Linked DNA regions of Arabidopsis thaliana. The main gene of each other region encodes a partner of the protein of the gene in region 3 in a complex. Each region holds a gene or a part of one and is shown on either strand. Other genes may lie near its edges.

Evidence for each region. Proteins that work in one complex are often made in the same cells at the same time.
Region 1: AT3G09180 (region 3) and AT4G09070 share a complex: the UniProt entries of both Arabidopsis thaliana proteins name them as parts of the mediator complex.
Region 2: AT3G09180 (region 3) and MED19A share a complex: the UniProt entries of both Arabidopsis thaliana proteins name them as parts of the mediator complex.

What each region holds. Positions count from the first base shown.
Region 1 is NC_003075.7:5,800,334-5,803,912, reverse strand, and holds AT4G09070 (TATA-binding related factor (TRF) of subunit 20 of Mediator complex), read right to left. Parts: upstream 1,606-3,579; coding exon 1,592-1,605; intron 1,493-1,591; coding exon 1,081-1,492; intron 755-1,080; coding exon 521-754; downstream 1-520. UniProt on the Arabidopsis thaliana protein: Component of the Mediator complex, a coactivator involved in the regulated transcription of nearly all RNA polymerase II-dependent genes.
Region 2 is NC_003076.8:3,952,620-3,958,138, reverse strand, and holds MED19A (mediator of RNA polymerase II transcription subunit 19a-like protein), read left to right. Parts: upstream 1-1,953; 5' UTR 1,954-2,230; intron 2,231-2,795; 5' UTR 2,796-2,853; coding exon 2,854-2,881; intron 2,882-3,003; coding exon 3,004-3,293; intron 3,294-3,527; coding exon 3,528-3,764; intron 3,765-3,953; coding exon 3,954-4,013; intron 4,014-4,173; coding exon 4,174-4,224; 3' UTR 4,225-4,320; intron 4,321-4,762; 3' UTR 4,763-4,999; downstream 5,000-5,519. Other genes in the region: CLE22 (CLAVATA3/ESR-RELATED 22), read right to left, coding at 88-399; AT5G12220 (las1-like family protein), read right to left, coding at 5,125-5,519. UniProt on the Arabidopsis thaliana protein: Component of the Mediator complex, a coactivator involved in the regulated transcription of nearly all RNA polymerase II-dependent genes.
Region 3 is NC_003074.8:2,817,408-2,821,934, reverse strand, and holds AT3G09180 (mediator of RNA polymerase II transcription subunit), read right to left. Parts: upstream 2,842-4,527; 5' UTR 2,658-2,841; coding exon 2,384-2,657; intron 2,290-2,383; coding exon 2,124-2,289; intron 1,952-2,123; coding exon 1,501-1,951; intron 1,411-1,500; coding exon 1,351-1,410; intron 1,268-1,350; coding exon 1,199-1,267; intron 1,106-1,198; coding exon 1,062-1,105; coding exon of another isoform or gene 1,043-1,061; exon of another isoform or gene 984-1,042; coding exon 839-983; 3' UTR 510-838; downstream 1-509. Other genes in the region: AT3G09190 (Concanavalin A-like lectin family protein), read left to right, coding at 1-285. UniProt on the Arabidopsis thaliana protein: Component of the Mediator complex, a coactivator involved in the regulated transcription of nearly all RNA polymerase II-dependent genes.

The DNA.
Region 1 (3,579 bases), on a different chromosome or scaffold from region 3:
TTGACGAAGAAGACGAAGAAGAAGAAGAATCTAGATCTGTCTCTCTCTCTACTCGATTTCTTCAAACTTGTAGCTCTCACACTTCTTTCTCTCTATATTGTTTGTTACTACCGGTAAGCTCTGTTTGGAAGAAAACATGCAATCGCAACCGCCAAAACTTCTTTGCGTTTTGATTCTGCATTTGGGATTCTTCTCATTTATGGGCCTTAAGCCCAACTCAATGACTGACCCAAATAACTAACACTAAGCCCAATCGTAATCCAACATTTTCGCTTTATTTATGCATTTTATAGACACAAGTGACCAGTAATTGAGTTTAGGGTCAAAAGATTCATAAAGTTTTCACAGTCATAAAACAAACCAAAAAGTTGGTAAGAAACTGAATTCACAATCTGCTCCAATCTCAAGTTTACAAATTGGTCTTCCAACTTTTTAAAACTACCATTTGTTTTTCAATCCTTAATGACTTCTAAAATCAATGATACCACAAAAACTCATAAAAGTCTTTGTTGTATTATCTTTAGCCTCTCCCAGCTTGAATTGCTGCCATCAAATTAGCCATGAAGAAAGCATATCCAACAGCGGTATGTTGCGGAGTGTAGTTGTCTCCAAGTCCAAACTTTTCAAAGTTGAGTTCTTTGTTCACAAACTTACCCGGCAACGACCTTTTCGACATAGCTTCTTGCCATATCTCCAAGAACTCCTCCATCAATTTTTTTGCCATTCCCATTGATGATATAGGAAGATACTCCACCTAAATAGTACACACACATAATTATAGGTTTCAAATGAAAGTAGTGCATAATAGCATAATGGCATAAGTTGATAGCACTAAAAATTCGTATAATGAAAACTTGTTGCATGGAAAACCGTAGATTATGCAAATTTTCTTAATTGACAAATTTTCTGCCTAATCACATTAGAAACCGTCATTATGTGTGTTACCAATCATAGCTAATAACCTTTAGTTACTGAGTTACATTACAAACTCCAAATTATGAATTAACTAGAGTGTTAGATAATCATTAACATTGATTATTAATATATCTCAACGTACTCAAAAGATATAAAATTTGTTACCTCCATGACTACGCCTCTAATGGTCTCAGCATGAGTAGGAACAACTTTACCAACTCTCAAACGAAAATCCCCAAGTTGATACTCAAGCCCTTCAAAGTAAAACGAGAGTTTGCATTTGTAAGACTGAAGGCTCTCCATGATCATTTGAATTGAAGAATCTGCTTCCACGACGATCCTTTGCGACCTGATGACGAAATAGTACTTATCTGGCTCCTCCGGAAGCGAAATTCCTACAAATTCACGCGGGAACTCAGCTTGATTCGCCTGATCTTGCAACATGGGTTTGTAATAGTTGAGAGTGGCTTTCCATGTTCCCTCTTTGACGCCATTGAGACTCTCTATGCTTTGTGTTACTTCGTTTAGGATTTGGCTGCTAAATGTTGATCCCTGATTTGGTTGCCAATGCAAAAGCCTGGAAAAGTATTCCCCCAAAGAAATTTGAAAAAAGGTTAACGTATTATAAAAGAAATTACAATAATGGTTATTTAGTTTATGTAATCATCAAACCTACCATTTGACGGGCATGGCTAATGGAGGTACAACAAATTTCACTTGACAACAAAATTAAAAAAAAATGATCTCTATTAATTTACAATAATACACAAACAATAATATCTTATATAATATAGTTGTATTCAGATATATAATTTACCAAAAAACAAAATGATAAAACTTTACAATAAAGCAAAAAATTATTTAATCAAAAAATACTTTTTGATAGAATTTCAATCAGTGTTCATAAGGAAAATACATTTAAATGCTCAAATGGAGTTCATTTTTTTAATCATTTCTTTCATTTGAAATAGAACGTGGTCTATATGGAAAGGAAAATTTATTTTTAAAAGTAATTTACAGACCAAAAATAATACATATGCATCAACTTTGGAATCATAATACAAATTTCATTTTTTAATAAATAATTATAACATAGAGAATAATTAGATATTTTAGTGCATGTGCACAATTACATAAGTGTACTCACCCTTATCAAGATAAAAGGGAAGAAAATATAAATTCTTATAAGAAAAAAATAAAGTAACTTTTGACTTTAAATAAAAAGGAAACAAATCTAAGAAATTAATGTTATAATTAAATTATTTACCAAAATTAATTGAAAAATAAGAAACATTTTTTTACAAAAACTAAAGAAATTCATTAGATCTGCTATGAGTATCCGTTTGGGATCACACGTTCTGTGATAGTAGTAGATCGACAACAGATTAACTAAACGAATCAAATATGAAATATATCACTTCTTGAATACAATCTAAATATAAAATTCATACATCTCGGATAAACAACTCAATTCTGCTTCTAAGTATATTTAGTTTATAAAACGATGCTTTTTATCTTTATCTTATCTAAATCATTTTAAAAAGATGAGTTGAAGGCATAGTAAAGACTTTTAGGCTTAATAATCATCGAGCCATAAAAACAAAATACAAGATTAGATTGCGAGAAACACTTACCGATGAAAGAGATTTCTGGTGATGATCTTCTTGGGAATACGTAGTATAACGAAAAATTAAGACTCGTACACTGCATTATATAGAGAAAAGCATAGGAGTTTGTTTGTTTTACTAAGATAAAACGACCTCGTTTAAACTACCTCATTTAAAACGACTTCGTGTAAAATTATGTGTTTCTTAAAATGACCTTGTTTTTAAAAAGGTTTTCTTAGGAAATGAGTGGTGAAAACATGAATGAATCTAACCGAACTTATCCAAATTCGAATAATACTAATAGTTTAAAATCTTATAAATAGAATTATTGGAACTGAACCTTAAATCAAATTTAAATTTTATGAAACTGAACAAAATTAACTGAACGAATCAAAATTCCTAATGTATATATCTCATCTAATCATCTAAATAAAAATAAAGGTTTGATTCATGTTTCTTCTCATCTTTCGTTCATTTTTTATGCATAGTCATGAAACATTAAGGTTTCATTCCACCCAATGATATAATTTTTTTTTATCCTAGTACACTCAAAAAATGAAAAATTTATATAGAAATAAATTGGAAATTGATACAATTATATAATTGAATGATACGCTTTTGCTTAATACTAGTCAAGATGAAAAAATAAAAATAAACCAATAAAAAAAATTGAGCTGAAAATAGAGGAAAAATAATTACTTAGTTGATAATTATTTGTTTGATATAATGACATTAAATTGTAATTTTAGGTAATCACTTTTTGTTGATATTTAAAATACGTTTTTAAACAAAAACAAAACCGAAATAAAAAACCAACTCGAACAAAAACCGAATTGTGTCAAACCGAACAGAGAAAAAAAAAAGTTTTCCACAAGTAAAACCGACAAAATAAACCAAACCGGATCCCAAAAACCATAACCAAAAAATTGCATTAGGAGCCAAATATTTCCGCCACTTAAAACATGCCACGTAGGCACGAATCGATCGATGCAATAACTTTTGTAACGGCTACAAACTTCTGATTTCATTTTTGAAATTCTTCTCTTCCGTCTCTTTT
Region 2 (5,519 bases), on a different chromosome or scaffold from region 3:
AAAAAAAGTAAATAAATATGTTTTTTGTGTTTGCACAAATGAGTTTTATTCAGACAAAAATTCACAAAAACTTGTAAAAGCAAAAATTTATCTATTGTGCAATGGATTAGGACCTGTGAAGACCCTTCTCTTGCCATCTTCAAAAACATCTTCACCACCACCTTCATAATTAGTATATTTTGATCCTCTTGATGACGCAGCATTGGAGTCAAGATCATGAAGCTTTGGATCCAAATTTCCAGATTTCTTCAAGCTTCCATGAGTTGAGTGATGATGTATATTAGGAGAAGACGATGAAGCTTTAGCGTAAAGAAACAGAAACAAAAGAAGAAGAAGGATGATCAAGGCAACTGTAGTGATGTGTTTCCTAGATTTTCTTCTAGAGTAGTAATTTCCCATCTCTTAGGAATCTTCAAGATATGAAGAGTTTCTCTATAAGGTATAGATTATATATTTAGAATCGATTTTTGCAAGTATAAAAGATCTGATCAAGATCTCTTAAATAAATTCTCTCTCAAAGTCTGTAAGAATGAGAAGAGAGGAATGAAAGTGATGGAAGAAAAAGCTATGGGGCTTTTAACCTATGACTTCCTCTAAAAGTTTGTTGCTCTCCCTTTCTTATTCTCCACCACTTTCTACAAATAAAGAGAAGAGAAACTAGATAGAGGTTTGTAAATATATATATCATTAATTTTTAACGAAAGTTTTTTTTGTGTGTTGAATCATTTCCAAAGGTCTTAGCTGGGATTACTAGGTCAAGTGGTAGTAATTAGTGTGGTTAATAATATACTTATAGTGGTTAGTTTTAGAGAGTAATGAGGGTGTGATAATAAAGCATATAGAGGAAGGTAATTATGTGAAGGGGGTCAAAAGTAGAAAGAAATAGAAAAGAGAGAAGAAGGGGCCAAAAAGGGAATTGGAGTGATGATTCTAAGACTTAGCTTTCTTTGGGGAAAATGATGTTGTCTTCACTCCCTTTTTCTTCACCCACATTTACACTCACTCACACACATGAAAAAATCCACTTACCACTTGAATCTTCTTCCTCTCCATTTTATATAAATGTTGTATATCTATATTTGCTTCTCGTTTTTTAGTCTTTCTAAGATTACTTTTTTTTTTTTAATTTTACTTTATTATGAGTTAAGAAAGAGAATAAAGAAAACAGTATCACAAGAACTAAATTACATACATGATACATATATGGATATGATTCTCCAATATGCATCTTCTACCTTCGATAAACGTATTTACAACTTGTGCAACAAATGTTTTTAAGAAATCAAGCTGAAAGTTTATAGAAGAAAAAACAAAGACTTACGTCCAATATTTGTCAAGAAACACCATATGTGATATGTACCTCAATATATCCTCATCAGTCATCACGTTTTTATATATTATATTCCCATTTATTTTACAGCAGACAAATCATCATTTACATAGTAGAGAGCAGGTATACAAACTCAAATCCCCAAAAATACCATTATTCCATTTTGTTCTCGTCAAGCACTTTGTCTCTGATGTTATATCAGCAAATATACACGTATGTATTCATCGTATGTTTCATCTTAAATTGTAGAAGATATTGTTAGGCATGTCTCGATCGGATTAGACCTGTCCGACCAACCCAAAACACTGAAAACTTACATTATTTATGTTTTGATAATTTTCGGTCTTATAATGGTTTTTTAGAATAACAATTCATGTTTTTCACTCAAGTAAATAAAAAATATAGAAAGAGATAACAATCTAAATCGGATATAAATAGTCGTGGATATTTTTGTTTGGATAAGAGTACCACCGGTTAAAGAGAGATTCATTACTCGGTTCGAATACGGTTTAGCTAATGGAAGATCCTTGATTTGTCTGGTTAAGTGGGCCGTGTTGAAGGAGCGCGTGAAGCCCACGCGGAGCCCTTGAATAATAATAAAAAAAGGCTGACTGTAATTTGTTGATTATATTGAGAGAGAAGCCAACGGAAGAAAACAGAGAATAATTCCTCTCTCATTGGTCATCAGACACAAAAGACTCTCAAACCCTAACTAGTCTCGCTTTTTCGCTCTCTCGAACCTTCTTCGATCTCTGTCCTTTCTCGATCACTTGCTAAAATCAAAATTTTAGGCGGGAATTCGATACCCAAGCCCAAGACCCAAACACTTCCCCCCTCACGTTTCGCTGCTTTCGTTAGCTAGCTTTCTCAAACGAGATCTGGGCTTGTCGAAAGAAACGTGTATGTTGATTGTTTCGATTCTTTCTCCTACCAATTGAATCTGAGATTTTGGTTTTGCTATTGGGCTCTGTCTTGTTTCGTTTTCGAATTCCAAATTCCTCAATTTCGAATTTCTCTTCTGCTTGAAGCTTTTTTATCGAGTCTAATCTTCGTTTCTAGTGATTACTTCGCTTGTCTGATTTTTTTTTTGTTAGCTTCATTCCTAAATAGAACAAATTGATGAAACTTTCTTGTTGACTAGATCCAAAATGTATGGACTTGGTATCTAATTTTACTTTTACAAACTTCCGAAAACTTTCTAGGGTTTTGTTTCTGATGCTAGTTTCATTTTTTTTGAGCTTGGAGCAGAAAAGTTGAGAATTGATAGCATCTAATGCTAAATTAGATTTTCTTACTTCTTAGTTTTGGTCACTATGAAATATGAGCTGGTGCTTAGTTATAACTTTTGTATTGTTTGTGCTACAGAATTGTTAGTTTAGATAGTATCGAAGCTGAATTTGCTTTCTGTAGTAGTATTATTTCCTTATCACTCTATGCTTTTTCTGATTTTTGTTTCCTTGTGTAGGATATATATGCAGTGAGCCAGTGATCATGCAAAAGAAATTCAGAGTGCGATAGAGAAGATGGAGCCTGAACGTTTAAAATTTGGAGGTACATTGGTTTCGAATTTGGAGCTTCTTCAGTTCGTGAAGTTATTTTTTTTGTAGCTCGTTGTCCTTTGTTTTCCCCTTTGGCTCACCTTGAGGTCAATGTGTTGTTTGTTTCAAGTGCAGGTCCAAGAGAGTTGTGCGGTGCTGCGGATCTTATATCTCAATTCAAACTAGTGCAACACCATGAATTCTTTTGCAAGAAATCTCTTCCTGTTTCTTTATCAGATTCCCATTATCTTCATAATGTGGTTGGGGACACAGAGATCAGAAAAGGAGAAGGAATGCAATTAGATCAGCTTATTGAGAGCATATCACAGAGCCGGGAGACTAATATTCGCATCCAGCCTTTTGATATAGATGAGCTTCAGGAGTCTTTCCAACTAAATGATATGACTCCTGTTGAATTACCCCCAGTAAGAATCTGATCTTTCTCACTCTCTCTTGGTGTTTTGAGTTTTAAATGTCCTTCTTTTCATAAGAGTAACAGTATTTGCCATTACATTGAACTTAAAAACTGGCTCAGTAATGAATGTCCTATTTCCTGTAACATCAAGTTCTTTGGTTAATTGAGAATCTTTCCCTAGTAATGTGAATTACATCTGGGTGTCCTATGGAGATGATTGACCTTGGTACTATTCTTCTTTCAGGCAGAGAAGGGAGCTCCTACAATTCCGTCTAAGTCAAAAAGTGAGTCGAAAGATAGGGACAGGAAACATAAGAAACACAAGGACAGGGATAAAGACAAAGATAGAGAGCATAAGAAGCACAAGCACAAACATAAAGATAGAAGCAAAGATAAAGATAAAGACAAGGACCGAGACAGAAAGAAGGACAAAAATGGCCACCATGATTCGGGTGATCATTCTAAGAAACATCATGATAAGGTAAAGAACATGTCTGTTTGTTGAAGGTGTCTGTCTTTCCAAAGAAGAATAGCTTAATGGAAAGTTTTGTATTTGTTGCTCTTGAGTTAGGCTGCTTTTTTGACCTGCTTGGCATGAAATTAGCAGATCTAGAGACTGCTCTAGAACATTTTATTGAGTTTTTATGGAGCCTTTTCACTTATATTTCAGAAAAGGAAACACGATGGAGATGAAGATCTTAATGACGTTCAGAGGCACAAAAAAAACAAGGTAATGGTAATGAAGTGGGGCCTCAAATTTTTCTCGTTCTTCATTAACACTCAACATGAAATTTCCACCATAATGTTTTTTTTGCACAAAGGTGCTAGAGAACTAGTAATATGTCTTTGATAAATTGTATTGATTCAGCTCTTGATTGAACCTGTTGCAGCATAAAAGCTCAAAGCTTGATGAGGTGGGTGCAATAAGGGTTGCTGGCTAAAAAAGTTGTAGACATTCCAATTTTGTATTCTGCACTCGAGTAGGTGTCATGGAGACTTTAGAAGCACTTTTCAACTCACTGTAGACAGCTTATTAGGTAAGCATCTGTGTACTGTCCTGTCTCTTTTGTACAATTTTTTCGGTGTTCTTGGTATTCCGGGATCCTTCATAGAACATATACATCTGTTATAGTCCAGATACTATACTTTAGGGGAACTGAACCCATAATATTTTTAGGCAGATACTTGAGTTTTGTGTTGTATTCTTTAAGTTACTGAAATCCAAATAACGCAACATTTGCAAGGGAACATTGTATGTGTCTCTGTGCGACTTCTGTATTGGTATTGGATTCTTTTCTGGTCTTAAGAAAGTTGCCGTGATACATAACTAATGAAAATCGGGTAACCTGTCGAAAGAACATATCAAAGATAGGATGTGTTTCTAAATAGAACAGTCTCAGCTAACACAAATCATTGCTTACATTTTTGTTACTTTCTTATATTTTCAAGTTGTGTTGAACAAAATGATTGGCTTTGTAGGTTAAAAGCCCAAACTGGTGAATTCATTCCTTGAAGAAGAAAGGGGAAATTTGTGAAATGAAGAAGAAGAATTTAGTATCATAATTGATTTGGTGTCAGATTTGTAACATTTTTCTTGGGGTGTTCTATTCCATCTCTTTTCTGTCTATATACTCAATACAACACAAATCGTTACTATTCATGTATAATAATTTACTTACCAATTGATGTTGTTGAAAAAGTAACTGTCAAATCCACTTATTTACTTTTACTTGAGTGTCACAATGTCTATCTGTCTGCGACTATGCCTGTAAAAATTGATCAAATATCTGAACTATTTTCTCAAAAATATGTCGGATTATATGATTACATCTGTCGAAATCTCAAACACAAATTGTAACACTAGAAGCCATCCCCGAGAGTTCTCCATCATTTACTCTTTTCCATTCACCATCTATCATAAGGCAGCTTCTACTTTCCTCTTCATCATTCCACATCAGATTCTCTTCTGCTACAGTTTCAGTTTCCTCATATGCATGTTCTATTTCCATCTCAGCTTCTTCCTCGTATGATTCCAATGTCACATCATTTGATTCAGAATCTCCTGCACTCTTCCTTGCTCGCTTGCATGGCGATTTCTCCAATTGATTTCTATTACACTCAGCTCCTCTCTTCGCATTGTTGTTACCTTGTGCTTGTTTTGAGATGCTCTTAGCATTCTGATTGTCAAGAAGAGGTAAACGTCCAGAAGATCCAATGATCCGAGGCAACATACCAA
Region 3 (4,527 bases):
GAAATATGGCATCTTGATCCGATATGGGTGCAACCAGCGCCATTAGGACCAAATGAAGGTTTGAAGCCGGACGTTTCCACGGAAATGGAAGAGGGCCGAGAAAATAGTGAGTGTATATGGAGAATGCTTGGTGCTCTGGTCTTGGCTGCAGTATGTGGAGCCGTAGGGGCAATGTCAGCTATGTATCTTTGGACTATTTGCAGTGTTAGGCGGTCAATGGCCGTGGTTCCAGAGGAATGTGCAGTGAGCATTGTGGTCGTTGCAGTTAAAGATGGCAAGAAGTAATGAGAAGTTTGTTTGGCTTTGGCTTTGGTTTAAGAAGGTTGTCTTGTTGTAGTGTAAATGTAGTACCTTCTTCCACTTCCTCTGGTGTTATCTTTATTTAGTGTTTTCTTTTATTTGCTTCGTTAGTTGCAGGTTTCACATGTACAATCTCTATGAAAGAAGCCGTAAGCTTATTTGATCTTGCAAAATAACTTAATTTATTGATCTTGCATTTAACATGTTTTATATTTCTGGATCGGAAGCAAAAATCAACACCCACTGTCTTTTTCTCACTTTGATGCTGACTGCAACAGAGTAATGTGAACCGAGTTAAAAAAAAAGGTCTCTGTTCAGTCATCTCGTGAACAAAGATCAAATCTCTAGAAAGAAGACAACATTCACATGTTACCAGAGAGTAGAAAGAAAGAAAGTTAATCTAAACCTCAACATGGGACATCAACAACAAACAAGAGGTATATCAAGGAGAAGAGCAGATACTAAAGATCCATACAAAATGTTATTAGAACTTATTTCTAACCTTTCTTTTAATTGATCCTCCCTAATCACTAGAGTACTAGGTATCATCTTGAGAGCAACTGGAGTGGTAAGCTTCACAAACGTCCAGGTTTAATGCAAGAGGCAATTCTTGGTAAGCGCGGTGTAAAGGAGGTAAGATTAACGCAGACTTTTTATCCATTGCTAATAGCCTTCCACATTTACTGCATCATCAGAAGAGAAATGAAAAGTTAGTCCACGGGAAACAAATGTATTAGAAGAATTACGGAGAGTCTGCATACGTGCAAGGTTTGCTAAATACGGATTCAAAACTGCATATCCATAGCTGCATAAGAAGAAGAGAAAGGTGTTAATTAACTTCCAGACAAAAAAGGTTCATGTTATCCAGAGACTGAAGTGTGCTTGTAAAATGCTTTACCAGAAGAGAGTAGAGAGCTGTTCCAGTACCAAAGCCGAGGAAATATTGCAAGGCTGTAGCAGCATGTTCCTGCAAGAAAAATCTAATTAATGCAAGTCCCCAATGAATCAAATTTGTTAAACTATATATAATATCAATCGCATCTTTATTACCGTTATGTGTTTGTAAACATGATAAACCGAGAAGCCTCTCGCATGTAAGTAGCTGCCTCCCTGTAAGAAAGGGATGAAGCTAAAACATGAGAACTTAAACAATTTCACATGAGAATCAGTATATTTTAATGCAAGGAGGTTGGAAGTGACCTCATCTGGGGAGAAGAAAGCAACTGCATCTGGATCAACAGAACCCGCTGGACTCAACGAGACTATAGCTCTGAATAGAGAAGGAAATGATAACTCAATAACAGCAATCTTGTCGACAACTTCAGTCTGTAACCCTGATCTCAGCTTGCTAGAACTCTGGAAAATAGGTTTCGATGCTTCTGTAGGATCATCACTACCTGACCCAGGTAAAGAGTTAGCTCTTTTAAGCCAGTTCAATCGTCCATAAGTAGACACCTTCACACTCGGAACCAGCTTCTCTAAACGCGATTGTATATCTGGCAATGTTTTGTAATCAACCGGCTCCTCTCTTCCATTTTCTAATAGCAAATGGGAGGCACGATGTTTTTTTGAGCTTGGTTCCATCTTTAATCCATCATCAATATGAGGGAAGAATCGTCTTTTCTGATCCGTGAAGGCCTTGAGAGCTAACCTACAGTCATTATACACAACGCGAGAAAATGGAGAATGCATGAGATTCAGTAGAATTGGTTAGCTGATGAAACTCCAAGTTGGTACCACCAAGCTTCACTAACAGCCCTAATATGCAGACTCGAACCTAAACCCTAAGTATGCTTTAAAATGATTAGCAACGAATCTGATACCTGGTTCTATCAACAGCAGAAGCACCAGCTTGGCCAGCAAGCTGTCTTTTCCAAGCATAAGCAACGACTGCACCATCTGGACAAACCAAAGGCATGTGAAGACCCCAAGAGTTACTTCTTGACCTAAGTGATTCAGTTAACACTCCAGATTCTTCCAATTTCTTCCCTGAACCAAGCAATAAACATTGATCGATCCTTAAAAGCCCTAATCTAGAGAATCAATCAATACTAATGAAAATGATTCAGTTTTGGTTCAGCACCTATTAAGCGAAGATCCTGAAGATGTTGACGCATGGAGGCGTCTTCTCTGAGAAAGAGCTGAAGAGGCATGTCTGTGTGACGAGGTTGCGAAGCCACGAACATAGCTTCAAGGATACGGTCAGCGCCGAGGCGGATATCGGCGATAACCCTAGCCGCTTGATTGAGTCGTTCCATGGCCTGAGCCACCTGTTTCGGCGGCGCGTCCGATTCAGACTGATTGTTCGCCGCCTCGGCCGGATTCTGGAGAAGTTGGGACTGGTGTAGCGTCTGCATAAGCTGTGATTCAAGCACACTCTTTCGATTTCAATGAAATTGATCTTCTTGACGACGACGGAAGGAGAGGAATGTTTCTGGACTCGGAGAATTTCACGTTCAAATCTCAATCTACTGTAACGCCAGACGCAATTTTGTAGCGTTTGCGTTTCAAAGGCGTTTTTGTTGATATGCTTGCTTCTGCTCCTTCACGTCTTATTTTGTTTAATTTATTCCACTCTGTTAAATTGAGTTTTACTCCATTAAGCAATGCTTTATGGCTCATGTTGGACTGAAAATGTATTTTGTAATCTCAATGTTTGTGGGACTTTTAGTTTTTAGCCCATATGTACAGTTTGTTCACTTTAATATTTTTTTTTTTTTAGTTTGTACATGTAAAAAAATGGGAAATTTGCAAATATAGCCAACAAAAAAATTATAATTGCAAAACTAACACTTCAACCAATATGTATTGAACTTTATGCAATATTGACAAACTTAACCCGTGCGTGAGCACACGCGCTTATTCTTCTTCTTCTGAGTTTTCAATCGATAACTTCTATGTATTACTCTGTAAAAATTCAAATAGAGGTGAACATTCAGAGAAGTTACAGTAAGAAAATCTGAAAATTCTGGGCTTTAAAAAGCGACACCCGGGAAAGTTTCGAAGAGCAGACTGCGTGTGCAATCCGAGTGACGATTCTAGAGTTTACGAAGATTGAATTTGTGGGTTTCGATTTGGGGACTGTGGAGGCTTCGATTTCTGGCAATCGGACTGCATAAATCTTCTGCAATTGGAGGAGGAGCCTATCTAAGCATCCGAGTTTCGTACAACACTTATGTTGGCTCTTTTCTCAATCGAGGGTTTTTGATTCCGTTGAGAGTACTTGAGTGAGTTTTGTTGTACGGGAGTAGAGGTGTTTATATCTCCGTCGTCTCCACTGTAACACTCGAATTTCTGTGGCAATTGGTGTCGGCGAAGGGATTCAGCCAAATTAAGGTATGAAATGCCATTTTTTGGCTTTTGGGAAAATCTTTTTAATTTGTGTTGAAGAGCTTGAATAGCATAAACTCGGATTTGAGTAGCTTTAGGTAGGGAATCTGCTTGGTTAATACGATATTCATTTGTAATTGTTATGAAGGTTTAGGATTTAACTCTACTTCAATGTAATCCATTTGTGTTTGTTGATAGTAACGGAAGCTACTCAAATTGGTTGTATGTGTTAATGACATTTTTAGTTTTATTTGCAGTATTGAATAGCATAAACTCGGATTTGAGTAGCTTTAGTTAGTGAATCTTTGCTGGTTAATCCGATATTCCACTAATTGGTGTTATGAAGGTTTAATATTTAACTCAACTTCTATGTAATCCATTTGTTGTTGTTGATAGTAACGGAAAGCTGAGGCTATATTGGTTGAGTCTGTTAATAACATATATTTACATCTAAGATTTATATATTTTGTATTTGTGTAAGTAGCAGCATCAAAAAAGTGATACGTGGACATTTGTATTTCAGTGTATCTGTTCCATGGGGGATGTAGAGTTGCCAAAGCGTTTGTTTCGGCTAGGTTCTGAACCTGAGGGCCGAAAGAGGATAAACAATTACTTTACTCTTAGGTGGATTGAGATCATCAAGGCTGCTCTAGATCAAAACCATTTGAAGCAGCTGGAGGGTTCGCAGTTTGGATTTCTGTTGCAAATGGGGACGCATCAGTTTTCTGTAATGTTCTTACATTACATTCTATCTAGGCAGTTGGTGACAGATAAGAAGTATGAAATGTGGTGGGTGTTTGCAGGGAAGCCAATTCGATTTGCCATTGATGATTTTGCACTTGTTACCGGGCTTAACTGCAGCAAATCTGGATTCAACAAAAAGGATGCAAGGACAAG